Caenorhabditis elegans: one gene and its partners. The protein of the gene in region 1 purifies or fractionates together with the protein of each later gene. This does not show direct contact. Each region holds a gene or a part of one and is shown in the gene's direction. Other genes may lie near its edges.

What was found.
Region 2: the proteins of asg-1 (region 1) and sdhb-1 fractionate together in Caenorhabditis elegans (co-fractionation; one large-scale study listed by BioGRID). This does not show direct contact.
Region 3: the proteins of asg-1 (region 1) and ndub-10 fractionate together in Caenorhabditis elegans (co-fractionation; one large-scale study listed by BioGRID). This does not show direct contact.
Region 4: the proteins of asg-1 (region 1) and mrps-31 purify together in Caenorhabditis elegans (affinity purification with mass spectrometry, with the first as the bait; one large-scale study listed by BioGRID). This does not show direct contact.

The regions. Positions count from the first base shown.
Region 1 is NC_003279.8:8,689,245-8,695,284, forward strand, and holds asg-1 (putative ATP synthase subunit g 1, mitochondrial), read left to right. Parts: upstream 1-3,701; 5' UTR 3,702-3,703; coding exon 3,704-3,928; intron 3,929-3,975; coding exon 3,976-4,146; 3' UTR 4,147-4,224; downstream 4,225-6,040. Other genes in the region: hbs-1 (Tr-type G domain-containing protein), read right to left, coding at 23-132, 831-1,049, 1,175-1,485, 1,534-1,593, 1,643-1,685; mrps-15 (Small ribosomal subunit protein uS15m), read right to left, coding at 1,886-2,038, 2,117-2,266, 2,319-2,483, 2,530-2,600, 2,648-2,867, 2,913-3,001, 3,052-3,115, 3,167-3,247; K07A12.5 (Pre-mRNA-splicing factor SYF2), read right to left, coding at 4,249-4,411, 4,458-4,760, 4,809-4,926, 4,971-5,065, 5,112-5,230, 5,277-5,414, 5,530-5,641, 5,694-5,835 and 1 more. UniProt on the Caenorhabditis elegans protein: Mitochondrial membrane ATP synthase (F(1)F(0) ATP synthase or Complex V) produces ATP from ADP in the presence of a proton gradient across the membrane which is generated by electron transport complexes of the respiratory chain.
Region 2 is NC_003280.10:9,348,934-9,356,458, reverse strand, and holds sdhb-1 (Succinate dehydrogenase [ubiquinone] iron-sulfur subunit, mitochondrial), read left to right. Parts: upstream 1-3,727; coding exon 3,728-3,797; intron 3,798-4,444; coding exon 4,445-4,593; intron 4,594-4,644; coding exon 4,645-4,878; intron 4,879-4,924; coding exon 4,925-5,053; intron 5,054-5,225; coding exon 5,226-5,450; intron 5,451-5,499; coding exon 5,500-5,589; 3' UTR 5,590-5,745; downstream 5,746-7,525. Other genes in the region: cup-15 (Coelomocyte uptake defective protein 15), read right to left, coding at 2,287-2,420, 2,469-2,906, 2,950-3,076, 3,143-3,271, 3,319-3,459. UniProt on the Caenorhabditis elegans protein: Iron-sulfur protein (IP) subunit of succinate dehydrogenase (SDH) that is involved in complex II of the mitochondrial electron transport chain and is responsible for transferring electrons from succinate to ubiquinone (coenzyme Q).
Region 3 is NC_003279.8:10,517,440-10,524,538, forward strand, and holds ndub-10 (NADH dehydrogenase [ubiquinone] 1 beta subcomplex subunit 10), read left to right. Parts: upstream 1-1,920; 5' UTR 1,921-1,921; coding exon 1,922-2,078; intron 2,079-2,466; coding exon 2,467-3,029; intron 3,030-3,111; coding exon 3,112-3,174; 3' UTR 3,175-3,322; downstream 3,323-7,099. Other genes in the region: nlp-4 (Transthyretin-like family protein), read right to left, coding at 1-219, 269-413, 461-463; exos-3 (Exosome complex component RRP40), read left to right, coding at 942-1,105, 1,157-1,433, 1,483-1,722; UPF0598 protein F59C6.12, read left to right, coding at 3,432-3,490, 3,537-3,619, 3,662-3,723, 4,162-4,302, 4,349-4,525; dhhc-12 (Palmitoyltransferase), read left to right, coding at 4,713-4,743, 4,944-5,032, 5,095-5,174, 5,368-5,485, 5,704-5,934, 5,997-6,090, 6,135-6,256, 6,299-6,466; F59C6.3 (uncharacterized protein), read left to right, coding at 7,020-7,099.
Region 4 is NC_003281.10:3,625,493-3,634,158, reverse strand, and holds mrps-31 (Small ribosomal subunit protein mS31), read left to right. Parts: upstream 1-3,786; 5' UTR 3,787-3,792; coding exon 3,793-3,888; intron 3,889-3,935; coding exon 3,936-4,030; intron 4,031-4,074; coding exon 4,075-4,236; intron 4,237-4,282; coding exon 4,283-4,717; intron 4,718-5,555; coding exon 5,556-5,919; 3' UTR 5,920-6,925; downstream 6,926-8,666. Other genes in the region: sel-8 (Protein lag-3), read left to right, coding at 7,039-7,094.

The DNA.
Region 1 (6,040 bases):
ATCAATTTTAATTCCATCTTACCGTTCCTCTTCCGTTTCATCAAGTACCCAGGCATACGCGAAAGAAGCTTTGCCATTTCTAGCCGCTTCATGTTTGAATTTGTCGATTGTACGGCTATCTACCACTTCAAGCTGGAAATATGAGAATTTAGTTAAGTTGAGTGAATCCCACATTTTTTTTAAACGAAAAGGAAAAGTTTTTTTCGCCGAAAACACGAAGAAAGGGAAGAACAAAAAATCTACAACCCTGTTGCCGGTGGGGTTAATTTACTTAAAATGCTTCGAACAAGCCACGAAGTATAAGTTATTAAAAATTAAAAATGTTTTAAGTAACAGTCAAAAAAAGGAAATTCTTTACTGTTGTTGCCATCAGGGCTGTACATTTTTCGGTTTCCGTTTTTTTCCTGCTTTTGAAGAAAATTTATTTTTAGATATTTTCGGAAAAAAAAGAGATCAATAAAGTAACTGACGAATTCTTAAATTTGGCAGTGTTACTATCCAAAAAAAACACTCGAAATTATAACTTGAGTGTTTTTGTCGAGAATACCTTTTTCGTTTCCGGTTTCGGAAAATAATTGTTTTCGGAGTCCGCCCTGATTTTCATTCATCAATAAAACGATTTTAAGGGCTTTAGATTTCAATTACTTTGTAATTATTCGTATTTAATCATTTTCAGGGTTCAAGACTGCAGCAATGCTTGAAACTACTCAACGATAAATAAATGACTGAAAATGTTGAAAAATCTGAAAAGTTTCGAAGTGTGCATTCTTGACACTCACTCATGTTCTACCAAAAATTTTGACGACACTTTCAAAGTTTCAATAACTTACATCATGAAGTAAATGACCCATGAGAGTACTTTTTCCTGCATCGACATGTCCAACGACAATCAAGTTAATTAAATCTTTATCAGCAACTCTTGGTTTTGGTGTTTTTCGGGCAACTGACGGAGCTTTCGCGATGTTCTGCAGTTGATTGCGTCGAAATGATGTTAAATCGACTTCAGAAGATGGGCGGCTCACAGTTGGAGTTGTTGATTCTGCTTGAAGCTGAAAAATTAGTATATATAAGATATAAATAAGATGCGAAATGATGCTTTCAAAGAAAATTCTCGTATTGGATTACGTGATAACTTAAGTTACAGTTGAATTTTTTAAAGTATTCTCGAGCTCACATTTTTAACTTGCGGCGTTCTTTTTGGAGTATTCAAATTGCTAGACGTTTGTGGTGTACTCGGTCGACTATTAAGATTCTTCGGTGGTTTTTGATTTTGATGGAGCAATGGAGCTGTCATATTTCGTACAATAGTAGAAGATAGGGAAGTTGTTGGAGCTGCAGTAGGTGTTGGAGTTGATACAGGTGGATGATACGATGATGATGGAATACCAGGATGTGGAGCAGGAAGAGCTGGTGAATTGCGACCACTATCTGTCAGATATGTATAGTAGTTTGTGGATAATGAATTACGATCATATGTATATTGCTCTGAAAATTTTAATTAATTATTTGAATGAAAAATAAAGTTTTTCTTACTTTCCGGGTTCTCCTCATCTTCATAATCGTCGTAATCGTCGTCATAATCGTCGTCCATTTCTGAAAAGACAAAATTGTTAATCTTCGGTTTCTTTTTTTTGAAGCTTACCATCTTCTAAATTTAAATTTCGAATAGCACGGTGGCGGGACATCTGAAGAACTGTTTTATATTTAATTCGCAAGTTTTCTTTCCCATCGTTCAAATAGATAGAAAGTTTCGGAAGATTTACAACCGATTTAACGAAATCATAATAGAAACATGGAGGGATAATAAATTTTAATTCAATAATAGCATAACAATAATAAGAAAGATCCTACTACAACAAAAAAAATTCTGAACTTCTAAATGAGATTATTTTTCAGTCATAGTTGGTGGTGGATGATAGAAGAGATTTGAATGAATAACAGTTTCAGTAAGTGAAGAGATTAAAGCTGGTTCATACTTTCCAACTGTTTCAAACGATTTTCCTTCGATAACGTCAATTTGGCGCATTTCTTGAGCAAGCTGAAATTTCGTTTGAATTTGAAACGTTTCAGAAATTAGTTTTAAAAAGGGTATTTTCAAAGTGTATATTTTGCTTACTTTATCCAATTCATTATTCAATGCTTTCCTCTTCTCTTGTGTCTCTCTTTTATGCTCTTCAACTTCTTTATCGTACTTTTCGTGCAATTCTTCCAATCGCTTCTCTTTTTCATTTTCAACTCTCAACTTTAATTGTGCTTCGGCCCATGCCTGAAATTTGTTGTTTTTTTAGTGTTTAAAGTTATCAATTTGCAAACTTTACCTTTCTAGTTTTCACATGAGCTGGCTGTTTCGGTACATGATACGAAATTTTCAGAGCGGCAATTGTTTTCTCGAATGCAGTCTCATTACGTTCACGTAAAATACGAAGAGCTTTACGGCGTTCATTGATTACGAGCCAGATTCGATGGGTGAGCCATGTTGGCTTCTGCAATAAATGTTAGAAATATTGCCTTTTTAAAATGTTAAACTACTTTTTTGGTTTCCTGTCCAATGTCATTAACAAGAAGAGACCAATGCCGAATTAAAGCCGTTAGCCAGGCAACTGAAATTAATTTTAGATAATATTTTGTGATTATTTCTCAAACAAACTTTTCATTTCCAAACTATTTTCATCGAGAGAATGCTGCCTTACTGATTTGATAAGACTTTGTTTCCATTCTTGTGACAACTCTTTTCTCGTCGCCATTTCAACACTAAAAATCTTTTTGACAGACTCTGGAGCATTCGAAAGAACATCTAAATCTTCATATTTCGCACGAGTTTTCGATTTTTCAATACGAGGCAATCCGAATTCGGTTTTTTCGAGAATCTGCAAGAATATTGCTTATATCTATAAAACTCTTGATTATCATACCAAATTATCAGCTGCTTTCAAACCCAAATCGCGTTCACTGCCAATTTTTTCGTAGTAAAGCTTCGTAAGTGCATCGATGTAGTTTTGATCTGAAAATCACTTAATAGAGATATATATCTCGGTACTTGAATATACTCACCCAGTGGCAGTTCTCTCGCTTTTTTCTCAAAGTAATCCGGATCTTGCTTGGCTGGGTCGGTGACCTGAAAATGATATATCAAATTGTGGCTAGTTTTGTTTTTTTTTCCACCCACTTTTTGATGAACGTTGTAGAACGCTGTTCTTCCTCGTTCCAGCCGACACGATGTGTGCACAAATCTTCGAAGATTTATCATCTGAAAGTATTATAGAAAATTGAACAAAAATACCGTTCAAAACTGACTTAATATTAATTAATCTAATCATTCATGAAAATTAAAACAAAAAAAATTTCCACGGCGCCTTGGAACTCAATGAGATACGGTTTGTAAAAGTCCGCAAACACCGTGCCGCTCAACTGCGGACAGCCTCGCTGAATTAAAAAAACCAAGGATTTCTTTCTCGATTGCTTAAAGGGTCCCACCACGATTCAAATATACTACTGTCTTGATTAAAACGGGCTGCTTGTATTTTGGGGGATTTTTTTAATGAATGAGCACTCATGGGCAACATTATTCCCTTTCTATTAAGTTTCATTTAAGGAACAAATAAATTTTAATGATCTATTCAATAATTGATTCCCTCGTCTCCCAATTTTATTGCCTTATTAATTTCGAAACACATTCTCTCATTCACACTCGAAATTTTCAGCGATGGCGACCCACAAGCTGAGCTTCTTCGAAAAGTTGGCCAACACCTTTGGAGCTCTTTACCGTCATCAAGCTCAGCAGTTCCCACGCCGTCTCGCTATTCTCAAGGCTGTTGGAAAGCACGAGCTGGCTCCACCCCGGTCTGCTGACATCCCAGCTATCAAGGCGGACTGGGCTAAGCTCCAGAAGTTTATTGAGACCAAGCAATATGTCAACCTTAGTATCAAGGTAATTTGTTACACGCTGAAACAACACTCAATAAAAAATAACTTCAGGAAAGTCTCGTCTACTCGGCAGTTGCCCTCGAGGTAGTCTTTTGGTTCTTTGTCGGAGAAATGATTGGACGTCGCTACATTTTCGGGTACATTGTTCCAGCCAATTATGTCTCGAAGGATACAAAGGCTAAGGTTGCCGAAAAGAAGAGACTCGCTGCCCTCGAAGCTTAATACATCGATAAGCATATTCATTTGTGAAAATATGTGTTTTTTCTTCAACGTTTGTTAGATAAAAGAAATTAAGGCTTTATTTTTCTAGTTCAATACAAAAAATTACAATCCACTAGTTTCTTCTCCAGCCTCTCGAGTGTAATCCTTCCGATCTTCCTCAAAAGTTTCAAGTGCCTTATTTTTCACTGCATACTGTCTTTTCAGAGATCGGCCTTTGAAAACATGAGAAGTGATTGTTGGAGCAAAAATGATTTGATTCGGAGCGCTAAAAATAAAACTCGTTAGAGAAAAATCAGTTTCGAAATTCTTACTCGGTCGCATCATCCTGGCTTATTGAACTTGTAGAGAGGGTTTTATCTACAGATACTTGTTTCTTGTTGAATTCAATAGTACCGTGCAAGGTATTCATGAAAACAGCATTTCTTTCACAACTCTTCTTGTATCTCGCATTAATTGATGCCAAGGACTCGGACATGATGGTGTTTGCTGTGTTGCTAGGTGGTTCTGTTATTCCAGCATGTTTAACTTTCCCCCCAGCAGTCATTGTCTCAATCAACTTTTCAGCAGTAACCGTGTACTTTCCCTCTGGATCATCGTCCAACGTCATATCCTCTCTGAAATTCAAATATTAAGATCCAACGGATGCAAGCCACGAAAATTACTCTTCGTCTTTTGCCATCCAATAAATCATCTTTCCTTTCTTCAATTGCGAACGGGAAATCGGTTGTTGATACCAACTGGCTGGGAACAGGGCTCTTTTGTCGTCAGTGGTATTCACAACTGAAAATAAACACTCCGATTTCTGTATTGTTTCGTAGTTTTACCGAATTTCTCCATCGGGGCTGTTGGCTCTAAAACTTCTTTTTGCTCCATTGTTTCCACTTTTGTTTGCTTGGGATCGACAGGGGCAGCGTATAAGCTAAAATATGATAATTTCTACATAAAACCATTCGACCCATTGAAACCTTTTCATCTGATCGTACTCTGCTTGGGACTTTTTTATGTTGTCCTGTTTATCTTTCCTTTGCTCCAAACTGATTTTCTGTTTCTTACGAAGAGCGTCCAGTTCCTTTTCACGAGCTGCCTAAAGTTCATGGTTAAAGTAAATTTCTCTATAATCTCTATGTTACGTGATCACGAATCGACACAAACTTTTTTTGTGGAGCCAAAGTGGATAAGTAGTATTCTTTCAATCGTCCAAATTCTACATCAACTTTCACTCCTTGACGATTGACAACCGTATTGGCTCGTTGCATCTTTGGATGGCGCTGAATTTCAAGAAATAATGTATTTCTTTTTAACTTTTTAGATGGATAGTAAAAACCGTAATTAAGCACTTCCTTTGCGCGGCGAGATATATATATATATATACTGTATGCTTACCACGTCTGAATTTTTCGATTTCGAAACGTATTGAGACTGCGTATGAAAGATTTCAACTACTTGCTCCTTTCGAAATTCTTCCCAATTTTTCAGTTGTTTCTGAGCATCCTTCCTGGAAACCAAATCAGATAAGTTATTACATATACATCAATTTATTTAATTACTTGTGAGTTTCATACTGATCATCACTCAGTTTATACCGCTGCTGCATCTTCTTTTTGTAGCTCATCTTCTTCGCCTGTTTCTTTTCATAATCAGATTTCTGTTTATCAGGCGATGGTGATAAACTGAGCTTTTGGAGTTTACCTGAAAGCGCTCGATTTTACTTTAAACCAAAAACTCATCATACTTTTTAAACCAGAGAAATTCATGCTCGCTATTTTTGACTCGAGCACTTGTGAAATGATGCGTGTGAATACTTAGACGTGAATAGAAGGATTAAATGGAAGTTTATTTATCGACTTCACGCGAAAATAAATAAAATTTACACCGAAAACGTGGGTTGGAGAGA
Region 2 (7,525 bases), on another chromosome or scaffold:
TGAGTACTCAAAGCCACAGGCGAGCATCAGAATGTCATAAACTAGAGATACACTTCCCAGGGCAGCTAGATAGAATACAAAGAACGTGTGTGTAATACATAAATTATGTGTGCACTCTTTGAAGTGAAAAAACACACATAAATTGAATGAGCAAACATCTACGTTCATCTATAATAGAGTCTCGAGAAGTTGTGAGTACAAGTGCACACTGATCAGATCACCTAACTTTGTGTATAACTGTCTGATCAAAGCGTTCTTTTCGTGTACTCAACCATTGCCAAAGATATTGATCTTTCTTGTGAGACTCCGAAAGTCTCGTATCTAGGTGTGAATCTATACCGGAAAAGGGATGAACAACGGAAGTTAATTTTACAGTCTATAAGAAGTGACAGGCGGAAATCCAAAAGGTAAAGATTTCAATAAATCCTTATTACTGTATATTATTCTGTTAAAACAGCTGGCTCTTTTTAATCATTCGCGAGCAGGTGTATAAATTGGACACTCCCTTTTTCAAAAATTACCGCCTCGTTGGACAGTTCTCCCCCGAAAATCTAGACTATTATGAATTGACGATCGCCTATGCCTCTTCCGCCACAATATTATCAAGAATGTCCTTAATTTGGATTGATTATTCCGAGGTATTCGCGGTGCGGCGCTGAGATGTTCACTATCATAGGACAAGTATATACAAAGAAAAGGAATTTGATCGCGGTAACAAAGACTGAAGACAAGATATGGAGTCAAAGAAATGTTTCGCTAATTTTGAACAATAGAAGAACTTACAAGTCAATTCTAGTAAAACAAAATGTTCAGAAAATATATCTACTTTATTTTTAAAATAGCCCTCTAGACATGTACTTTATCAGCAGTATCATCAGATCAGCTGGTCCACATAAAAAGTACGAAGGATCAATTGGGAGTAGAGTGATGAGATTTGGACGGAAAACAGCTGGTTTTGAAGGAGGAGGGAAACGAACATGTACACATTGACAAGAAGCGTGTGAATTGGTTGACGAAGAGAATTGGATGAGAAGAGTAAGAAAAGAGAAAGATGTTCAAAAGCATAAGCAAAAGGAAGTAGCAGCTTGGGAATGGCAGGGGACCAACGTAGTGCTCAATTTGTTGTCATTGTTTAGCTTTTGAAATCTCGAATGTATTAGAAAAGCGGACAAGGTGACATTCGTCGGCTAGGCTCAATAAGAGAAATATCGACAAAAAATGCACACACATTTCCTGCATTCGAGTGGCACCAAAAGGAGGTGCTGCTGCAGTTGCCGATTTGACAAACATGGAAGCCAAATTGACGAGAACTAAAAAAAGGAGAGAGGAAGGTATTGAGGGGAGTGTTGGGAGCACCGACGTGTGAATGAATGACTGCAGCAGCTTGAACACCTGTCTGGTACACCTGGTACCGGATATGGATGTCTCGGAATATTCCCAAGAATAAATTATCAGGAAATTACTTAGATGTCGTATTCGGATGTTATAAATGGCTCAGGAGGACTATTAATTTTCAATTGCAATGTTTTTTTTGTTGAAAAATTATTGCTAATTTGGAAGAAAAAAAGTGAAAGCGGTTGACTGGTGTCCATCCATCGAACAACAACTATTTACATGGAATGAACCCGACCGATAAGAAGGCTGCGCGCGCGCCGCCGCTTCTCCTCCGGACGATATACGCGCATCCCTCTGTGTGTGTTAGAACAAACAGTGTATCCTCCTTCTTGGCCGGACGGAGGAGAAGAACTCGTCGTCGTTTTTCACTTTTTCACCCGGATTGTTGGGTTAGAGCACGGAGAGCAGGAGCAACATGCGGTTAACAAGCTCGTTAGGACGGTCATTTCGGCGACTTCTCGTTTTTGTGGCGAGTGGAAGAAAACCAACATAAAAAAGTTCGAAAGAAACATGTGAGAAAGTGTCTGAATTTTGAGATAGATTAAGTCTAATTTGCGGGAGAGAAGTGTATAGATGGAGCATCTTCAGGAAATCGGAAAGTTAGAATTTTGGAAAGAAGAAAAATAGAGTTAGAAAATAGAAAAATAGAGTTCAGGCAAGGGAAATAGTTTGAGAAAAATAGATATTCGTGATGATAATTAACATCAAAATAATTTAAATAGAATTCGAAGTAATTGAATTTGAATTGCAATTTTATCACAAATATACAAAAAGAACAAAGTTAGCAAGAGAGCATCACAGGAAAGAGAACACAGGCACGTATTCGGCAAGGACTAGGTTTCGAAATTAAATTTCAAACAAATATAAGAATTGGATCAATTTGAGCAATTGTTATCGTGTCTGATGGATTGGTACATTGTATAACACAGAAGATCCTGGAGAAACACGACTAACAAGATCTGCATCCGACATTCCCGATGAAAGAAGACGTGATCTTTGGCCATGTGGATCTGATAGACGAGCATCTGAACGAAAATAATATAATATATTTCAAGGAATACAGAAAATCTTACATTGAATAAGACGCCTCGTTTCACCGCCACCCTGAATGTAGCTGGCAGCATAAAATAGAGCTGTGAGCAGCAATAATGTTCCAAAAGTGATCATAATTCCAAATAAATCACGATTTCTGTCTTGTTTTTCAGCACATTTCCACACATCATCCCATAAATGAATTGTATCGTTCATCGTAGTCTCCACGTCGACACAAAAATCTACATCTGGAGTTGTGTAGATTTTCCAGTAATATCCAAAGAGTTCGTCAAAGGTGGTCTTGCAGAGATTACAGATTTTACTTCCATTGGTAAGATTATCATCCAGTACACCTCCAGATGTGTAATTAACAACACAATTTCTCCATTCATACATTCTGTTCTGAAATTGCATTGTCCTCTCACTGAATGACACTTCCGATTTGTTTTGCGGAAAATTCCATTTAATTGTTATGCAGGCTGAAAAATGGGAATTTATGATTTTTTTTGCCGATATACTCACAGTCACATCTGGATTTTTCCCAAATTTCTGAAGTTAAAGCTTTTGATATATCCGTACTGTACGAGAGCAGATAATTGTCATAAATAACTTGAGAGCAAGTTCGATTATCCAGGGAGTAGACATTATTCTGTAATAAAATTCATATTTTATGTGAAGACGGTTTTAAAAAATATTGTTTTCAAATTATACTCACCAGGTTTTTTGTTTCATATTCAAATTGTTTGAAATTAATGTAGTTTTGAAAGCATTTTGTGCAAACTACAGGTGGAATTGACCAGTTTGTGGCGCATGCTACCATTTCCGATTGTACAACAGCTAGTTTCTGAAATAAAGATGTTTAGTTGCATTAAATACTTCGAAGAATCTTACTTCCACATATTTTTGACAGGGTCCATCCAAATCCCAAGGATCATCAGTGATCGGCGCTGTTTCGAGCCGCTCTTCTCGAAGAGAAATCACGGAAAATATAAGTAAGCTGCAGAAAAGTATCCTTGAAAGTGAATTTACCATCTGCAAAATAATTTTTATTAAAAAGAAAGCATTTTCTAGCTTTAATATAGTTTTAAAACTAAAATAAACAAACAAATAAATAAAAAACAAAATAAATGTTTGCCCGTAAATCCACACTCAAACTATAAACAACATGCACTGCGTTATTTCGGAGTCTCGTTACAAAAAATAAATAGTCACGTCCATTATTGTCTCATGTTTTTCAACAAATTTCTTTGTATTTACATTTTAATTTCTATTAAACTTTGATTTATTGAATAAATCTCAGATGTTGGCCCGTTCGGCTCGTCTTCTGCACTCGGCGGAGCTCGCCGCCAACGCCATTCGTGCTGCTTCGGGTACGTTTTTTAATTTTGGTAATTTTCCATCAAATATGGTACTTCGTGTGGAATACTAGAAAAATTAAATATAAATTATTTAGGAAAGCATTTTTTAACGAGAAATATTAGGCTTTACCCGAGATTTCACAAGGTTTCGTGTTTTGCACGTAGGCAGCACTTTTTCAACGTTACTATTTTTTAATAAGACGACAATTTTTTATGTTCAGCTTTATTTTGTTTAATTATCTTTGAATAATTTTTCTAACATTACATGAAATTGGATATGTCAGAAAATTATATTATGTCTTCAAAAACTAAAATTTTCCATTTTACACGTAGGCACTGAAAGCTGTAAAGCTCGGTCGTGTTATTAGATGAAAAACGCAGATTTTTTTTTAAAAATCAAATACTGTTCCGTAAATATTAACCATCATTCAAAGTTCTGTTAATTTAAAAATATCAGTTTTGGAATTTCTTGAATCAAAATTTAAAATTCAAAAAATTTGAGAAAAGGGAATTTATAAATTTATAGCAAGACTTTATAATAAACAAAAATAATGTTTTGAAAAACGTTTTTTTAATTTTGTTTGAGCTCAACGTTGCAAGAATAATATTTATCCCTTAAATTCACCATTTTTAACACTATTTTATTGGAACTGTTTCAGGAGCGCCAGCTACTGCAGCGGCGGCTGAAGCCTCTTTTCCATCAACTGATGATGTAGCCGCCAAGACCAAGAAGACCGGAAACCGTATCAAGACGTTCGAGATCTATCGTTTCAACCCAGAAGCACCAGGAGCCAAGCCAACTGTGCAGGTTGATTTTCAAAGTTTTTTTTCTTTTTTTAAAATTTAATAGTTATTGTAGAAATTCGATGTTGATCTTGACCAATGCGGAACTATGATTCTCGACGCTCTCATCAAGATCAAGAATGAGGTCGATCCAACTTTGACTTTCAGAAGAAGTTGTCGTGAAGGAATCTGTGGATCCTGTGCCATGAACATCGGAGGTCAAAACACTTTGGCTTGCATCTGCAAAATCGATTCGGATACCTCAAAGAGCACCAAAATCTACCCACTTCCACATATGTTCGTTGTGAAGGTATTGTTTTAGAATCTAAAAAAAACGAATAAACCTTTTATTTTAGGACCTTGTCCCAGATATGAACCTCTTCTACGCTCAATATGCCTCTATTCAACCATGGATTCAAAAGAAGACCCCATTGACTCTTGGAGAAAAGCAGATGCACCAAAGTGTGGCTGAACGTGATCGTCTTGTAAGTTTCAGTATATTTTCTGGTGCAGAAGTATTTGAAAAAGCATAACATAATTTTTAACTCAAAAAAGTTTTAAAATGAAAAACATTCATTTTTTCAAACGAAATAAAAGTCTAAAATCAATAATTTATTCATGATTATCACAACATTATAAAGTAATTTATATATTTAGGATGGTCTCTACGAGTGTATTCTCTGTGCTTGCTGCTCCACGTCATGCCCATCCTACTGGTGGAATGCTGATAAGTACCTCGGTCCAGCTGTTCTCATGCAAGCCTACAGATGGGTCATCGATTCTCGTGATGACTACGCCACCGAACGCCTTCACCGTATGCACGACTCTTTCTCAGCTTTCAAGTGCCACACCATCATGAATTGCACAAAGACATGCCCAAAAGTTAGAGTGTTCTCTGTTTTATATCTCGACTTAAACGAATTAATTTCAGCACTTGAACCCAGCTAAGGCCATCGGAGAGATCAAATCGCTGCTTACTGGATTCACATCGAAGCCAGCCGCTGAGCCATCAGCATTTTAAATAAGAAAATTCCATTGTTTTGCCTAGATTCGATGTAATATTTAGCTCTGGTTGATCGATTGTCGCTTCTTTTCGAAATACCCGAATTATCTATCCCCGTTTTCCGATGTCTATACCACGAGCCTCCTCTTTTTGCACAATAAACGGAATTGGTAGATAACTGTAAAAATTTCGTTTGATTAAAATATAAAAGTCCCCGAAAAACATTGCACAATGAACATTCATTTCTATCAATTCAACTCTTCCTAACCTTTTCGTGTTCTTTACTCTACCGACCCAATCTGAAACAAGTATGATCCTTTGTGTGTGTCTTCCTCTCCCAGGGTCGAGACAAAAACATAATTAGTTCGATAATATGATACTGACAGGTTGGCTTGACAAGTAAGATGAGAACAGGAGGACGGAAAATTAAGACGGAAAATTAATTACGGGAAGTTAGAAAACATTGAAACTACCCGGATGCTGAGAACAAAATACAAAGGTTGTAAATATTGACAAAATTTTTTGATTTTCAGTTTGAAAAACCTTTTTTTCTTTTGAAATTTCCCATGTCAATTGCAAGAACTTTTCAATTTTCTGCTTTCAATATGTTTTCTTCACTATCATAAAACTACTATCATAGATCTATTAATTTCTTAAAAATTAGAAAAAAACTTTCGTATATTATATGTACAGACTTCAAATTTTGTCATTTTTGCGCCGAAAATACGGTATCCGGTCTCGACACGACATATTTTGTGAAATTTCAAAACGAATGCCCTTTAAAGAATACTGTAGTTCCAAACTTTATTTTCGTAGATTTTTCATAGATTTTGATTCAAAAAAATATTTATTTATTTAAAAAGGTACTGTAGTTTTGGCGCAAAACACGGGTACGGTTGCAGAAAAGTTCCGCTCGTGCCAAGACCCGAGATAGTTCGATTTATTCGGTTTATCAGTTGAGCGATTCGACTCATAATTTTTTAAAGTACTATGGGATTTGTGTATTTTTACCCCAAATTGAAAATTAAAATTGAACTTGATATGTATGTATGTAGATCAAATTTTCATACTACTGTTATGGAAACATTGGAAGGACGTGGAAACGGAATTATTATTTCTCTATAAAGTATTGTATTTATGAATAAAGGTTTTAATCACAATTTCTCGTACAATCAAACTCCTCATGTTCATAAATATCGTACAATTTTGTTTTCTTGGTCCATAATGTTTTATAATATTACGTCATGTGCAATTTCATAAAGTTATTCGAACTCTTACATTCAATTATCAATTTTGGAAACAATCTGTCACCAAAAGGCAAGCCAAGACTCTCTGGGGGATCACATAACTTCATAAACTCGCCAAATTTCGTATCTTCAAACTTGTGTATCTTGAAAAATAAACGTCTAGGAAACAAATACTCAACTGATAAAATGTTTAAAAATATTTTATATATTTTTTGCATTACTTTACAGTTTTCAATATTCAAACTATTTGTTGAGTTACACAGAGTAAAAGCCATTTTACCAAAAATCACAGGAATTTTTGAGAACTCTTCTGTTGTACCAGTCATAACTCAACATCGATTGAGTTTCAGAAGTAAAATGTTAATGAATAATAATTGCAAGATATTTTTCCACATTTTATCAGTTAGAATTTTTTTGATATTTTTATGTTCAGCCAAGTTACAGACCGTTTTTCGAAAAAATATCGACTTGAAATTTTGAACAATGATCACTTTTTTGAGGTTTCTACAATGTCCTAAAAAATCTTTCAAAAATGTTGGCTCATCTCCAAAATCGTCCTCCGCTCTGAAAAAAGAAAGTGGACCTTTGCCTTCCGAAAAATGGACGAAAAAATGAAATTGAGCTTTTTTGGTCGAAAAAAATATTTTTAGAATGCTGAGAACACGTTAAACACGAATATCATGTTTATTTTGAGATCCGGATGTTCT
Region 3 (7,099 bases), 1.8 Mb from region 1:
TCTTCTCATCAGGAGTCTTCGAGTTAACAGTGACATTGAGTGGTGGGATTGGTTGGACGATTTTCCGATCGCAACGATGTGGAACTTCTTTAGATTCCCAGCATCTGTGAATGATAACGACATAAGGAGTAATCATATAAGCATCAGTTGTCACATAGGCTTTGAAATCAAATTCTCCTTTCTCGTTTGTCCATCGATCCATAAAATCTTCGTATCTGACTGAGAGTAAAGATTTTAGATTCAGTTGAACGATTTCAAACTCTCTTACACATTTGTGCTTCAGAAAAAATGTCCATTGGCATGTTGGCAGCAGGGACATCATCACACACAAGTTGTCCTTTGATATGCACGGAAAAATCTGTCTGCTTCACGGCCAGACACGTGGCAATAATACCGGAAAGAACAACAACTAGCTGAATGGGAAAACTTTAACTTCAAAAAACCTAACTATATTACATACCATTTACAAACCAGTTTGACCACTAAAAACTCAGTTGAACTGTATTTGAAACTAAATTTTTCTCGGTGTACGTGTCGATATTTATTTTAAAAAATTGCCACGCATTTATGTTTTCAGTGTTATTTTTCTTTTAGTCCTTGACAATTAATATTAATTGCAATTTCCAACATATCAAATAAAAATCAATGGGTACGGTATACAACACCGCAAACACCGTCACGTCAAGTCGCAGACTTTCAACAGCCGCTCCATTTTTATTTCTTATTTTTCTAGTTTTTCCGTTTATTTTGCGAAATATTATCACTTTTTGATTAATTTTATTGCAAAAATTTACAATTTTCAGTTAATATACTCATTGAAAACACTTTATTAACGTAGCTTATTACGTTATTCCTCCTGCGGTATTTAAATTTGGTTTTTCTATTCGCCACTACTTTTTAAAACGTTATTTTGTTCATCATTGAGTATTCAATTTTCAGAAATGACCGTATATCTCCCTGGCGACGTTATCAATGAACCTTCTTCAAGCGATTCCTCAATCATTGGCTACGGAATTAGTGTACGTGGCCAAACGAGAATTGCCACTCAACCTGGAGCTTTCCACAACGATGATGGAAAAGTCTGGTTAAATGTTCACAGCAAAAGGTAAGAATGATCACGAACAACATTTAAAATCACAATTTTTCTTAAATTCAGATATATACCACAGGAAGGAGACCGAGTAATCGCTATTGTCACTTCAAAAACTGGTGATTTCTTTCGTTTGGACATAGGAACTGCCGAATACGCCATGATCAACTTTACTAACTTCGAAGGTGCTACTAAAAGGAATAGGCCGAATCTAAAAACTGGAGATATTATTTATGCAACAGTTTTCGACACAACTCCAAGAACTGAAGCAGAGCTTACCTGTGTGGATGACGAGAAACGAGCACGTGGAATGGGACAGCTAAATGGAGGATTCATGTTCAAAGTTAGACACGAAATTTACTATTTATTGTAAAATTTAAAAATTATTATAGGTCTCCTTGAATCATTGTCGTCGACTAATCAACCCATCTTGCAAAATTCTTCAAACTGTTGGCAAGTTCTTCAAATTCGAAATCACTGTTGGAATGAACGGAAGAATCTGGATTAGTGCTTCGACTTCTGATGATATTATCAAGATTCACGATATTATCAATAAATCAGAGTTTATCACTGACGAAGATGAGCTTATCACCCTGGTTCAGAATAATTACACACGATCTGTCAGTGATTAAGAATCTTTATCTCAATTTTTAATTTTTCAGTGTAATTCCTGCTATTGTTGATTTTTTTTTCCTTTTGTTGTTGAACTTTTTAAAAATTTAATTTATCGTCTTGTTCTATGTAATATTTCAATTTTCAACGTTTCTTCGTTGTTTTAATATTTATTACTCAATATTCTCAATTCACAATGGAAAATTTTCGACATTCAGTATGGGTGAAGGCTTAGTGGAGCAACGTCAAGCTGACGATAAAGCATCTTGGGATGCTTACTGGAAAGTTCGTGATATCGATTCACGAGGATCCATCTACCCACGATTCCGTTATTATGCCCATAAGGCTTTCGACGCCCCAGCAACTTGGTTCAGAGGTAATTTTTAAAATTCTCAAGTTGGAGAATCATTTAAAGAAGAAGCAGCTTTGAAATTAGATTTAAAACCATTTACAAAATGTAAGAATTGACAGAAAACAAATTTCGTTCAAGTTTATTTACTTTCACCATTTGTTTTAATTCCAAGTAATTGATACTGTCTACGGTTTTATCCAGATTCAAAAAATTTGGGAACTTGTGGTGCAAGTAAAGGTTAATTTCTAATTCCCATATCATTGCTGTAAATTATAATTTTAAACTAGAAAAAAACCAAAGTTATTCGACTACCTCAAGCTGATGTACAGTTAGTAGTTGCAGTTCCACATAATAAATCAACTAGGCAAAACAATCCATTTTAATCTATTCTACTAACTCGTCAGCTTTTCAGAGACTATTGTGCAACCACTCAACAACAAGAACCGTCTACCCTACTATCACCGTCAACTTACACGTGTTCCGGAAATCGACGAATGCGGAGTGAACGACAAGGCCTGCTTCTACGAAGCCAATGAGCAGTACCGTCTTGATAAAATGGTCGATGGATTTATTCTGCAAACCCTCCGCCAACGTGTTGATCGGTGTATGCTTTACAACAATCCTGATCATTCACCATGTGCCAAGGTTATTGAGGATATGGAAGAGAATGAGTTGAATTTCTTCATGAAATACGGAGAGTTGGGAGGAGAATCCGATGTTCGTGATGCTTATATGAAGCAGAAGCATCGAATGATCTGGGAACGACGTCATCCAGAGATTATGGATGAGCGTGCAGCTAAGCTTGCTGATCATAAAGCACGACTTGCTAATGGAGAGTTTGACTATTCATTCTGGAAGAAGGGAATGTTCTATCAAGACAAGAAGAACTATGAGCCACCATATGAGTTCCAAATGAGCAAGTCAGCACTCGAGGGTGACAAGCCATTGTCCAAGGATTGGGAATACTACAAGAAGGTAAATATTCTTTCAAGATTTAATTTTAAAAAAGAAGCTACGAGAGAATCCTGGATCGAAAATTAAAATTTTATATTTTCAGGTCTCACAAGACCCAGAATTCGACAAGGATCAAGGAAAGAAGTCCGACTTCCGTCTCTTCTAATTCTACGCTGTCAATCTTTTCTTTTTCAATGAAATTTTTTAGAACGAATTGTGTTGAGTTTTCTTATTCCGTCGTAACAACTTTTTTTTCTTTTTCATGTTGCGTTCTTTTATTCCATTCAGAAAGTGAATAAATGTAGATTGTTTGATTGATTTATAAAGATTTGAATATGAATTTATGAGAAACGGAAATATTACCAGTCAGCTTTTCTTTTCAAATTAATTTAAATCAAAATTTAACTTTTTTAAGTTTCGGAAATGATACTGACATTTGCACGAAGTCTCTACACACAGGGGCAGTATAACGGAAAAATAAGGTTTTATTTTTAAATTAATTGTTTCTTTTTGAATTTGAGTTTTCAGAGAATATTTTTACTATGTGAGCCACAATGGTTTCCTATTTCTGGACGATTCGAGAATGAAGAATTTTACAGCGGCTTATAAAGGTTTATTTTACAGGAAAAACTGTTAACAAATCGAAATTTCAGATATTCAGTTTCTTAATTTCTTCTACAGAAAGATCAAGGAAAACAAGACGGGAAGATATGAGGTAAAACGCGAAATTTGCGATTTATCAACAAAAATACGGTAGCCGGTCTCGACACGACAATTTTTGTTGAATGAGAAAAGGTGTGCGCTTTTAAAGAGTACTGTAATTAAAAACTGTGATTTCTGCCGGATTTTTTTATTGATGTTTCCAATTCTTTCTATAAAATAATTCGACAGAATCTTAAGTTTTAATCTACAGTAATCTTTAAAGGCGCACACCTTTTCTCGTTTAACAAATATTTGTCGTGTCGAGACCAGGTACCGTATTTTTCACTTCAAAAATGTTGAAATTTCGTTTCTGGGTAATCTGAAAGTGTTCTAGATTTTCGATCAATTCCTATCGAATGCAATTAATTAAAGTTTCATCCATTGAATTGAGCTTAAATACTCAATTAAAAAATCGTGGAGGGAGCTGAAAAAAAATTATATGAAATTTCAGGATACATTCCCGTGGGTAAGCCTTTGTGGAATTGAGCGAAACTTTCTGAGATGCGACGACACTCCACTTGTTTACACGGAACTCGACTCCACTGAAAAAGAGCTCCGAATCGGGCAATCAACCATTTACCATTCGTTTCAAGTAAGATGAAGCACAGATTTTTCAGATCTGTATTCTAAAATTTCAGCCCTCATCACTTTCAATGAATTCAAGCGGCCGTGTTTATCACAAATGTCCGATTGGTGGAAAAGCACTGGTAGCTGACAAATTGACGGATAAACTGTATCGCCGGTTCCGATTTGACGATGACGGCGTTCCAGTCGGATTTCAGTGCGGGGAGCAGATAATTGAGCTTAAGAAATGAAATAAATAATAATTAATGTATATTGTCTGATGGAAAGTATCTAATGAAGTATTTAAAATAAAAATAATGTTAAACGTGAACCCTTTTCAAATTTATTTCCACGCCCTTTGGCGGCCTTTCAAAATCGATTTTTCAAGTTTTCGTTTATTCCCTGATCTTCCGGGAGTTATCTCCTCCACGTTGCATTATGGATGTTTGTAGGATTTTCAATCGGATAGGTCAGTTGCGAGACGTAACATTCTAAAATGAGCTTGTTTGGATGGGTCTTGCCGCGAAAACTTTACGGTAGCATGGAATTTAACGCGTTACCATAAACTTTTGATCGCAACTAGACCCACTCAAATAAATCTGTGCGCCTTTAAGCAGAGAATTAAAATTACAATAAAAATATTAAATATCGATGATCACCCTTTTTCAGTATACTTTTTGGTGGAAAAATCGTTGGGCGATATCTCGAAATTCGACCCATTTGATGTATTGAAGCTCGTCGCATTGTGGGGTGGACGTGTGAGATTTTTTGATAATTGGAAGCACAACCAGAGAGAAAGGCAGAAATGATAGTTTTTCAGTTATGTCTGCTGATTTTCGTGGGCACACTCTGCAATGTTACATATGTGGTAATCTTCAAGATGATACCAGTTGAATGGAAGTGAGTGAAACCTTCAATCTTCCACTCAGGCAAGAAATGCCTTCCTGCCTGCCTCTAGGTCGGTTCTGGCACCAACATGAGTGCCTACCGCGAAAAGTCCACGCCAATGGAAAAGAAAGTAGGCGTTAGGCAGGCAGGCATGATAAACTTGCTGAAACTCTATTTAACAATAGTTAAAGAAGTGTATTTTCAGCGAATGCCAAAATATGTCGTTCTTCGTGTTCCGTTTTGTGCTCCTTATCTACATTTACTACAGTGTCGTTTTTCACTACTACAAGGCCCGGACTCTGACACCTGTTGTGAATCCAGGGGTAAGCCTCCAAAAACAAAGATATGACGTCATAAGCATAAACGGTCGTCCGAAATCAAGCATTTGAGACAAATACTGTAATACACATTTCTCCACGAGGAGTACACACAAAGAACGTAAATCGACACGTTCTTTGTTTTACAGTCATTTCTCAATAAGCTAGAAATTGTAGAGCCTTTTTGAGATTTTTTTCTTAAAATTTCAAATCAAACTTTTCAGACTCCCAGTGACTCATTTTGTATCAAATGCAACAATTGGAAAGGTCCATCAACATCTCATTGTAAAGCTTGTGACAAATGTATCTACCGTATGGATCATCATTGCCCTCATATTGGACAATGTGTTGGAGCACACAATCAGAGCCACTTCTTCCTTTTTCTTTTCTATCTTCAAATTGCAACGGGCCTCTTTTTCTTGATGGCTACAACGTTTTGGATGAAATGGATAGAGGTTGGTTTGGTGCCTGCCTTGTGCCTGCCTATCCTTAAACTAGTAAATTATTAGTCCTTCAGACTCGTAAAGAACTAACTGCAATCCCGGATGATCAATGCTGGCCTCCATATTGTTTTAATAGATATTACTACTTGATTACACGTTCTCAAGGAAGTATGTCTGATGCATTTGAACCTTTCTAACTTCTCAAATTCCAGCCGAAGACACTATGGTTAAATTCGCATTTTTCCTTTTCGTAACACTTCATTGGATTATGTGGGGATTTGTTGGTGTCTACGTAGGAATCATTTCATTTGGATTAACTATGGCGATGAAAATGGTAATCAAATTGGCAACATCTGAACCAATTCAGAATTTCCAGTTTCAAAAGTCGGACGCTGAATCTCGTAAACCTTTCACTTGGTTCACAATCAAAGCTCGTTGGAGAAAATACATGAACTGTCAAGATGAGCCACTTTGGAAGATATTTTTTATTCCGAAAACCCGCAAAATTGTGTCGTATAACGATTATAAGGAGTTAATTATGTAGAATTATTGTAGAATTGTCTAATTTTCTCTTTTTTAATGTGGTTTTTTATATTGAGTTTTTTTGGTTGGCAATAAAAGGAATTGAAAATCGGGTTTTTTGTTGAAAATTGAAGAAATGAAGGTTGCTCAGAATCACTTTGATGGAACCAAAATAACAAATATCATGGGATAGAAATTTCAGAAAATATACTTTTTGTGGAATTCCAATTTGGAGCCGCGCGATTTTGTTAGGGCTTGGTGAGATGGAATGAGCTCGGCTTGTTTTCATATTTTTCCAATGACTAGTTTCTTCCTGACTTCAAGAAAAAACTTGAAAAAAGCAACAATGCAAGCGAGCTCCACCCTGCAAGCTCACATACAGCGTGGATGTTGAAATTGGAATTTGGTAAATGCTGAATTGGTTTTCAACAGGAAATAATGTTTTTTTTTTCTGGAAGTTTTTAAAACCATTGAAAAACGTGTTGACCGCCCTTCTTGAACCGTGGATTTTTTCTTCTAAAAAATCCAAAAAAATTTATCACAAGTTCTCATACTCTCGTTTCTTCCTCGAAGCGATGAGCACGACAAAATCGATAAAAATCAATTCAAATTCAAGTTTGACGGAGAGCAAGAAGACAACCATTGATGATGAGGA
Region 4 (8,666 bases), on another chromosome or scaffold:
TTTGAATGGTTAGTGCAAAGAACCTTTATTCCAAGTAAAAGTGCATTCCCGAGTTGATTAAAAATGGATGAGTGGTATTGGAAAATGTACTATGAAGAGAGTACTAAGTACAATGGTCCACTGAGACCCAAATATTTGATCAACAGAATAATCTGGTTATGTTATCATAAATTGCTGATAACGAGAAGCCTATGAGTGCATCGAGTGTCTTATTATCAGATCAGTTTCCCACTTGAGTGGTGTGACCACTTGGCGGAATTCTACAGCGGAGGAATACGATACGCGAGTTGAAACAATACAAAAGAGCCCAGGAAAATATAGTTTCTCCAAAAAATTTAATGCAGGGATGGGTGGTAAATGATTTTTTTTTCCGGCAAATCGGCGAAATGCCGGAATTGAAAATTTCCGGAAAACCGGTAATTTGGCGAAAATAAAAATTTCCGGCAAATCGGCGAATTGCCGGAATTCAAAATTTCCGGCAAATCGGCAAACCGGCAATTTGCCGAAAATAAAAATTTCCGGCAAATCGTTATAAGAATCAGGGGTGGGTGGCAAACGATTTTTCCGGCAAACTGGTAAATTGCCGGAATTGAAAATTTCCGGAGAATCGGCAAATTGCCAATTTGGTGGGAAAACGGCAAATTGTGATTTTGCGCATTTTTTTTTGGAAATTTCAGAATCAGCAAAAATTGCCTGAATCAAAAATTTCCGGCAAATCGGCAAACCGGCAATTTGCCGAATTTGTCCACAAAAAAATTTGCAATTTATTTGCAATCCAACGGCAATTGCCGCCCACCCCTTCTATAAAAGCAATAATTTTTAACCAGAAAAACAATTACCTACCATGATTCAGAAAAATTAGGAATAAAACAGGTAGCTTGACGAAATGACTAATTTGTAACATTTTGGCTTGTAATATGTGAAACACTGCGCACAATTGAAAATATTGGAACAGCAGGGCAGTGTCAGGAGTGCCCGCATTGAGTCATATTTGTTTGTACAAACACTTACGAGTACCTAACAAAAAGTAAGATTCCTCATGTTTTCAAAAAATCAGGCGACAATTGACGAGATTATCGAATTTTTGAAAATTTCAAAAATCGACAGTTGCCGAAAGTTTTAAAATTTGTTCTAAAAGTTAATAAAAAAGTTTTAAAAAAAAACATTTTAAATTTGGCAATGTCAAAAATTTTTTTTTCGAAACATTTTCGACTATTTAAAATTCGGCAACTCGCGAATTGGAAAAGATTAAGAGAACTGTCGAATTTTCTTTCTTTAAAAAATTGACAATGCCAAAAATGTTAACTCATTTTAATTCAAAAGCTTAGAAAGTGCAAATTGCCAAAAATTTATGTTTTTCGCCGAAGAGAATGACCGGAATGTTGCGTAATCGATGCCAAAAGACAATAAGTCATGGAAAAACGGATCGGTCAATGTTTGCAATGTTCGGAATGAAGGCGAAAGCGAGCCAGCTCTCTCTCTCTCTCTCCCGAAAAATGGAAGAAAAACCATTCCCACGAGGGTTTGTTCGAGAGGGGCCTCCTCTGCTGAGTGACTGGTGACGAAGCAGTCATGAATTTGAAATTCTGAAATTCACATTTGTGTGCGTCAAACAACGTTTATCATACAGAGCTCTTCGAGAGAGAGAGCTTCTAATTGGAAGCGACTGCTCTATGAGGAAGAGCTTGCTCCACGGAGCAAGAATGTGTGTGTCGTGTCGAATAATTGAGGAGCTTTTGAAGAGTCTCATTCGAGTTACAATAGATGTAACACAGAGATAACACATATTCTTGAAGATTATGAGAAAGACTTAATGGACCACGCGTGGATTACTAGGATTACTGTAGAACTCTTCGAATTGAACAATTTCGTTATTTTCTAAAACTATAAAGGTGAAGTGAAGAAGCATCTGGGGTGGGTGGCAAACGATTTTTCAAATTTATGTTCGGCAAATCGGCAAGCTGCCGAAAAACAAAATTTCCGGCAAACCGGCAAATAAAAAATCTAGCCAAAATCTCTTTTTTCTTCTAAAATTCCTAAATAACAGCTAAAAAGATTTTTTAAAAAAGAAATCATACACATTTTTGTCACATTTTGGTCGTTAATTCCGCGTTTTTAGAATGAATTTTCGATTTTTGAGAAATTTTAAAGAGGACACAATCAGGGATGTCTTTTTTTGGGAAATATAGATTTTTTGGTTTTTCGATACCAAAAAAACTGAAAAAAATTTCAACTCAGATTCAGCGAAACAATTTTTAAAGAATGAGAAAAATCGATCAAGTTTTAATATTTTATGAAAAATCAACAGAATATTTCATGAAAATATTCCGTTTTGCCCCGTTTGAAAGCAAAGTTGATTTTTTTTGGTTTTCGGTCGAAAATTTTAATACGTCTTTCGTGGCCATTTTGAGTATTATAGAGTAATTTTTTTTAATTACTTCGCCTTTAAACATGTTTTCAGCTAAATTTCCAGAAAAACTATGCTTTAAATTGCAAAAGTAAACGCTGAGAAGTATTTATTTTATAAAGAATTCTTATTGTGAGAGCGATTCGAATTTTAATTATCCTTAAAACAGGAAATAATAAATTTTTTCTGCCAATCAGTACAAAAAACGAAGCTAAAAATTCGAAAGAAAAACTGCGAAAACTGGTAGATCTAAGAAAATATGAAGAAAATATGAATATGACGGCAGATTACTTGCAGAGTGAAGACAGAAAAGAACTCTAAAAAGGGCTTTGAGCCCAATAGCTGCTGAACAAAAACCTAATTATGTAACTGACTGCCTCTTTTTCGACCTTTTTCCCAACAGACAACGCTTTTTCTTTTTTTTCTATTTTAAGCAGAAAGATGAGACGTCACGGAAAAAGAGATATAAGAATAAAGAAGAAAGTGAGACGAAAATTCACACTTCTTCAATATTCAAATTTTTGTGGTTAAATGTTGAATTTCGAATTTAATCCGCCTACGGAATAATGAATAAGGAGGGGAGCTTTCTATAGGAAGCTCCACAAAAAATAAATATTCTGAAGACGTTTGGTGGCGAAAAAAAAAGAATCAAGTACACTGGACAACTGGGACTCTTTTCCTTCTCTTTCGTACACTTTTTGAGGGGAAAAAAGAAAGCACCGCCCGGCGGCTTCGAGGGCTCGCAGAGCTGAGTAACGGGGGAAGCAGCAGCACATTTTCATGTTTTGTTTTGACCGATCAATTTCATTGCAAGAAGAGAACTCTTGCAATAAAAGGAATAAACAATTGCCGAACGCTTTTAGATTCTACGGGAATTTGTTTGGAGATGGATGCAAGAAGAAAATCGGAAGTTTACAGCTTCAGTGGGCCGGGTAGAGGACATCTAAATTGTGGCAATTAATTCCAAAAGAAGAACTCTAAAAGATGCGTAATGTTATTGGCTTTTTATTAGAATATCTGATTTTTAAATTAAAAATCTTTTTTAAAAAATGTTTTGTTTTTTTCTGTTTTTTTTCCTATTACATATTATTTAATGATAACATTTTGATTTCAGATAAGAAACATTTTAATCAAAAAGAACACAAATTGTCAAAAAAAACATAGCGATAAGGCGTGGGAAAATGCGGGAAAATGCAGGCAGACGGAGAAAAAAAGAAGAAAAAAACTAACCCCGAGAGGAGTACACACGACGATACTCCGAAATCCCGCACCCGCGTGTTGTTTAGCCAATATTTCTTTTTAAGTTTTTCGCTGTTTTTTCGAGCAATTTTCGTCAATATTTTCTAGTTTTAAGTCTTTAATATTATTTTTATTTGATTTTTCAGATGCTGAGAAGTCTGTGCTCAATAGCTGTTCGACTTGGCGGTGCAAGACAACCTCGATTGCTGTCCAGCGCAGCTTCGGGCGATGGAAATGATGGTGTAAGTTTTCCGGCTCATTTTTCAAGTTTTAAACCAGTTTCTTCCAGAAAGGTGCAAAAGACGCGATTGATGAGGATTTGCTGAATGCGATTGAAGGAGTAGCGAATAATATTCACCCGCAGAATGGCTCCGAAAAGAAATCGTAGGGTGAAAAATAATAAAAAAGATTCAAATATAACTTTGCAGACTAAAAAATACATTGATCAATCGATTAGTAGCAAACGAAAAAGCGAGTTTTGATGCTGCCGCAGCTTCTGCAAGCAGTGAAATGCTCGATGATCAGGCACTTATCGGACTTCTTGCCGATGTGGCGGGCGATGCCAAAGTTGAGAAGAAGCTTCCTCCCAAGTGAGCCATTTTCAATGATCCGTGACAAATTTCATTTTTTTTCCAGATCCGCTCAACTTCGACAAGAAAAACGAGGACTTGTTCTTCTCAGAAAAGAGATTTTCTATCAGGCAGTTCAAAGTGGCTTCACGACAGAAGAAGCTCGTGTCAAATCAGAGACAATTGTCAATGAAGCACAGATAAAGCTCCAAGAGCAGCGAAAAGCTCTTCTAAATGATGTTAGAGAAAAGGTGGAACAAGAAGAAGTTGAAGAGACGGAGAGAAGTGAGAAGGATCAGAAGTTGTTCACGATGGCCTTGGAATTTATGGAAAAGATTTACAAGGATGATTTGATTAGTAGTGCTGTTCGTAAACCTGTGAAAGTTGACAATGATGCTATTAAATTGTTCAATCAGAAGCCTCTAGGAATCTGGAAAAAGGGCGAAAAATATGAAGATTTTTCCCTTGGCTTCTGGAAACAATGGGATGAAAGAGCTGCAAGGTAGATATTTATGAAATCAAATGGCTCAAAATCCCGAAATTTGATAAAAATTGCTAATTTTAGCTGAAATCTCAGATTTTCTCAATTTTTCCGTTTTGCAGCGATTTGTTTCACACATTTTTGGTAATTTTTAACGTTGTTTCGTTGGTTTTTTCTTCATAATTCTATAAAAACAATTTCCAGTCGCTATGGTGCGAAAAAGTTGACAAAAACGAAGATTTTAGCTTAAACTAGTGAATTATCAGAAAAACTAAGTATTAAAAATTTTGAAAGATTTTTCTAAATTTTGCGTGATATTTTCAATTTTGTAAAAAAATTTTGTTTTAAATATTCGCATTTTCCGGCTGAAATTATCGTTTTTTCGTGATTTTTGTCTGAAATTTTATGTAAATTATATAAAAATCGATATTTTTTTCCTTTTTTCACGGAAACTAACGAAATTTTGCCGGTTTTCTAAAAAATCCAAAAAAAAATTGGATCAGAAAATTAACCATCAAAATCGATTTTTTATCTAATTTTGTTCATATTGATGATGAAAAACATAAAAATGTCATTTAAAAAGAAGAAAAATTATCATAAATTCAGCTAATTAAAAAAATCAAAAATTGAAACATCGGAAAAATAACTAATATCGAGAAACAATTTTTTTTTGATTTTCAAAAAAGGAAAACGAAAAATAGAAAATGTTTCAAGTCAATCAATTCATGAAATTTGGCATTTTTTTGTGTTGAAAAATTGAAAGAAAAATTGGAAAAATGTAGAAAAATGTTATAATTTTCTTTACTTATTTGATCATTCAAATCCATTATCCACCTTAAAAAAACCGTTTTTTTTTCAGAATTTCCAACGGCTCATTCGGACCAACAAATTCTTTCGAAGAACAAATCGAATGGACAACAAAAGGAAAACAATGGGAATATCCAATCGATAATGAGTTCAAAATGGGCGATGAATCGAATGTTTCATTCATTGATCACGTATTCTTGGAGAGACATTTACCATCATTGGGTATCCCGAAATCTGGTCCAATTGCTCATTTTATGCATTTGGTTTGTGTTGGTTTATCCAAGAATCCATATATGACAGCAGCGAAGAAGCGGGAACATTTGAAGTGGTTCGCTGATTATTTCAATACGGAAAAACAGAAATTGGTTCACAAACTTCACGAACAGGAACAGATTGCTGCTCAGAATGCTCTTTAATTTTAATTTTTTTTTAAATTTTTGTTTGAAGGTGGAGTACCGAAATTTAACCCGAATTTCGCAATGAGATGTTCTGAAAATTTCTCAAAAAAAAAATTTAGGGTGGTTCAAAAAATTTCGATGTTTTTCAGAGAAAAGCGATTTTTTGAGAAAATTTTGAAAAATTCGATTTTGTTTTTCTGAGAAAATGTAATAAATTCCGATTTTTTTCGGAGAAAATTTTTAAAAAATTCGATTTTTCCGGGAAAGTAAAAACAAATTTCAATTTTTTTTTCATAGAAAATCTGAGAATTTTTGATTTTTTCAAAGAAAATCAGAATTTTTGATTTATTTTTCAGAAAAAAACCGAAACAAAAATCAATATGCGGAATTAATTTTTAATTTTATTTCCTTTTAATGCATATTTTAGTAATATATTACGCGTTTACTCGTTGAGAGCGCACAAAATTATATAAAATTTGTGCACCCATCAATTGAAAATGTATCTAAATTAATTAAACTATGTATTAAAAGGTGTTAATTAAATAAACAACAAGTTCCGAAAGTTTTTAGGCTTTTCGGTGTAGAAAATTAGTTGAAAAATCGAATATTAGATAATTAAAATACAATTTACCAAGAAAAACGACTCTTGATAAACAATAAATTTGGAAAAAAATCGAATTTAGATTAAAAACCAAAAAAAAAACCTTAAATTGATTTTTTTGCTGAAAATACGAATTTTTCCATAACTTTGAACTGCGAAAACCTTTTTTTGAGAAATTTTCGGAACTTTTCATTATAAAATTCGAAAGTTTTGGGACATTTTGAATCTGATTTCGGTACTCTATCTTTTAATAGTGAATAGGATTTTTCTTCTTCTTTTTTTGTTTTGTTTTTTATTTCTTTAGGATTCACTTTTAATTGTTATTTATCTCTTTATCATTTTCTGTTTTTCATTGTGTACCCCCAGAGTTTTTTTTCCAACAAAATTTATCCAAAATATTTGTTTCTTGAAATTTGTTGAACAACTTGGTGGATAGATCCCCGCGAGTAAGAAATATATGAAGCGGAAAATGTATGAAAGTCTCAGAGACTCCAATTTTTGGGCTCTTTTTCAGGCATCAACTCTCATATGTGTCGATGGATGATCTCTCGGAATTCTTTGTGATTGAGGAGATGTTTATTTCGGAGCCAAGGTGCGGTTTTCTCTTTAATTTTGAATTTTCCGGGAAAAAATTTACCTAAAAATTGCCTCAATTTTACATGTTTACTCCGAAAAAATAAGCAAATTCTATGAAAATAAAAAAATAGGAAAAAATATCAAAAAAGCACAGTTTTCAGGGTTCCGTCTTATAAAAAATCCTTCTAAAAATTTCCGGCAAATCTGATATCCGGCAAACCGGCAATTTGCCGAATTTGTCAACTTCCAGTGGCTTTTGAAAAAAAAATTTCAATTGCTTTTTCGTATAGAAAACTGGATTTTACTACCTGAAAAATTGAATTTTAGATAATTAAAACTATATAATTAAAATACAATTTACCAAGAAAAACTACTCTCTTGCTAAAAAATTTTGGAAAAAAAATCGCATTTAAGAAAATTGAAATTTTTTAATTAAAATTAAATTTACCAAGAAAAATCACTCTATTGATAAAAAAAAATTTGAAAAAAATCAAATTTTGTTTAAAAAACCAAAAAAAAAATCCAGCAAAATTTGCAGCAAATAAAAATAAATTTTTTGCTGAAAATACACAATAATTTTTGATGAAAAGTTGAAATTAGCGAGAAAAATATAAAATTTTTTATACTTTTAAGATTTGTTGGTAGCAGAAAACAAAAAAATTCCACTAAAAAATGCCAAAAAATTTAAATGTTTTTTCCCGAAAAATTGCTGAAAAAATTGAATATTGTTTTGAATATTGACAAAAAAATTCAAAAGGAGAAAATAGTTTCAATTTAAAAATTTGAAATCACATACTTTTTTTTTGTAACATTTGGTGTGATTCATGATTCCCAACTTTGAAAAAAAAAACCATGAAAGTCTATAAAAAACCTCGTGTCGATTTACGCAGCTCGTGTACTCCCCGAGGATTTTCACCAATTCTTGGTGCATTTCCCATTCAAAGCGTAATTTTTGTTCTATTTAAGAAAAAGCCTGTAACATTGCCGAGAAACCTCGAAAATTGAGCTAGTTTGTCCTTCTAAAATTGGTTCTGAAAATATATTATTATTTTCTTTTTTGAGAAGTTGACCCTAGACAGTGTTCCTTGAAAACTCCTATTATCCGTATTTACACACACTTTTCCTAGAAATTTTTGAAGTAGAATTCACCCAAAAATATTCATTTTCTCTATCTAAATGCAATCTAAATTTCACCAACTTTTTCATTTTTTGTTCAATATTTCATCCATCTCCATCTCCTTCACTTCGACAGAGACAACGGAACCAATTAAAATTCGACGATGGCGCCCGTCCGGGACTAAACTGCCAAATCATTTATGTGGTCGTTGTCGCCTCTTCTCATCACGCACCTCCAATGCTTTCGTCCTTTTGACTGACTTTTTGATAACCTGTCCGCACTTTTCAGTGTAAATGTCTATGTGAGACAATTGAGTGAAATTCTTAGATGAAATTGAGAAGATTGAAATTGATTTGAACCTAAAAACTTGCATTTCATTGTGAAGTTTTTTTTTTTTTAATTTGAAGTGCTCTGCAAAATTTTGGTATTTTAATTATTTTTGCAATTTAGAAATTTCAAGCAAATTTTAAT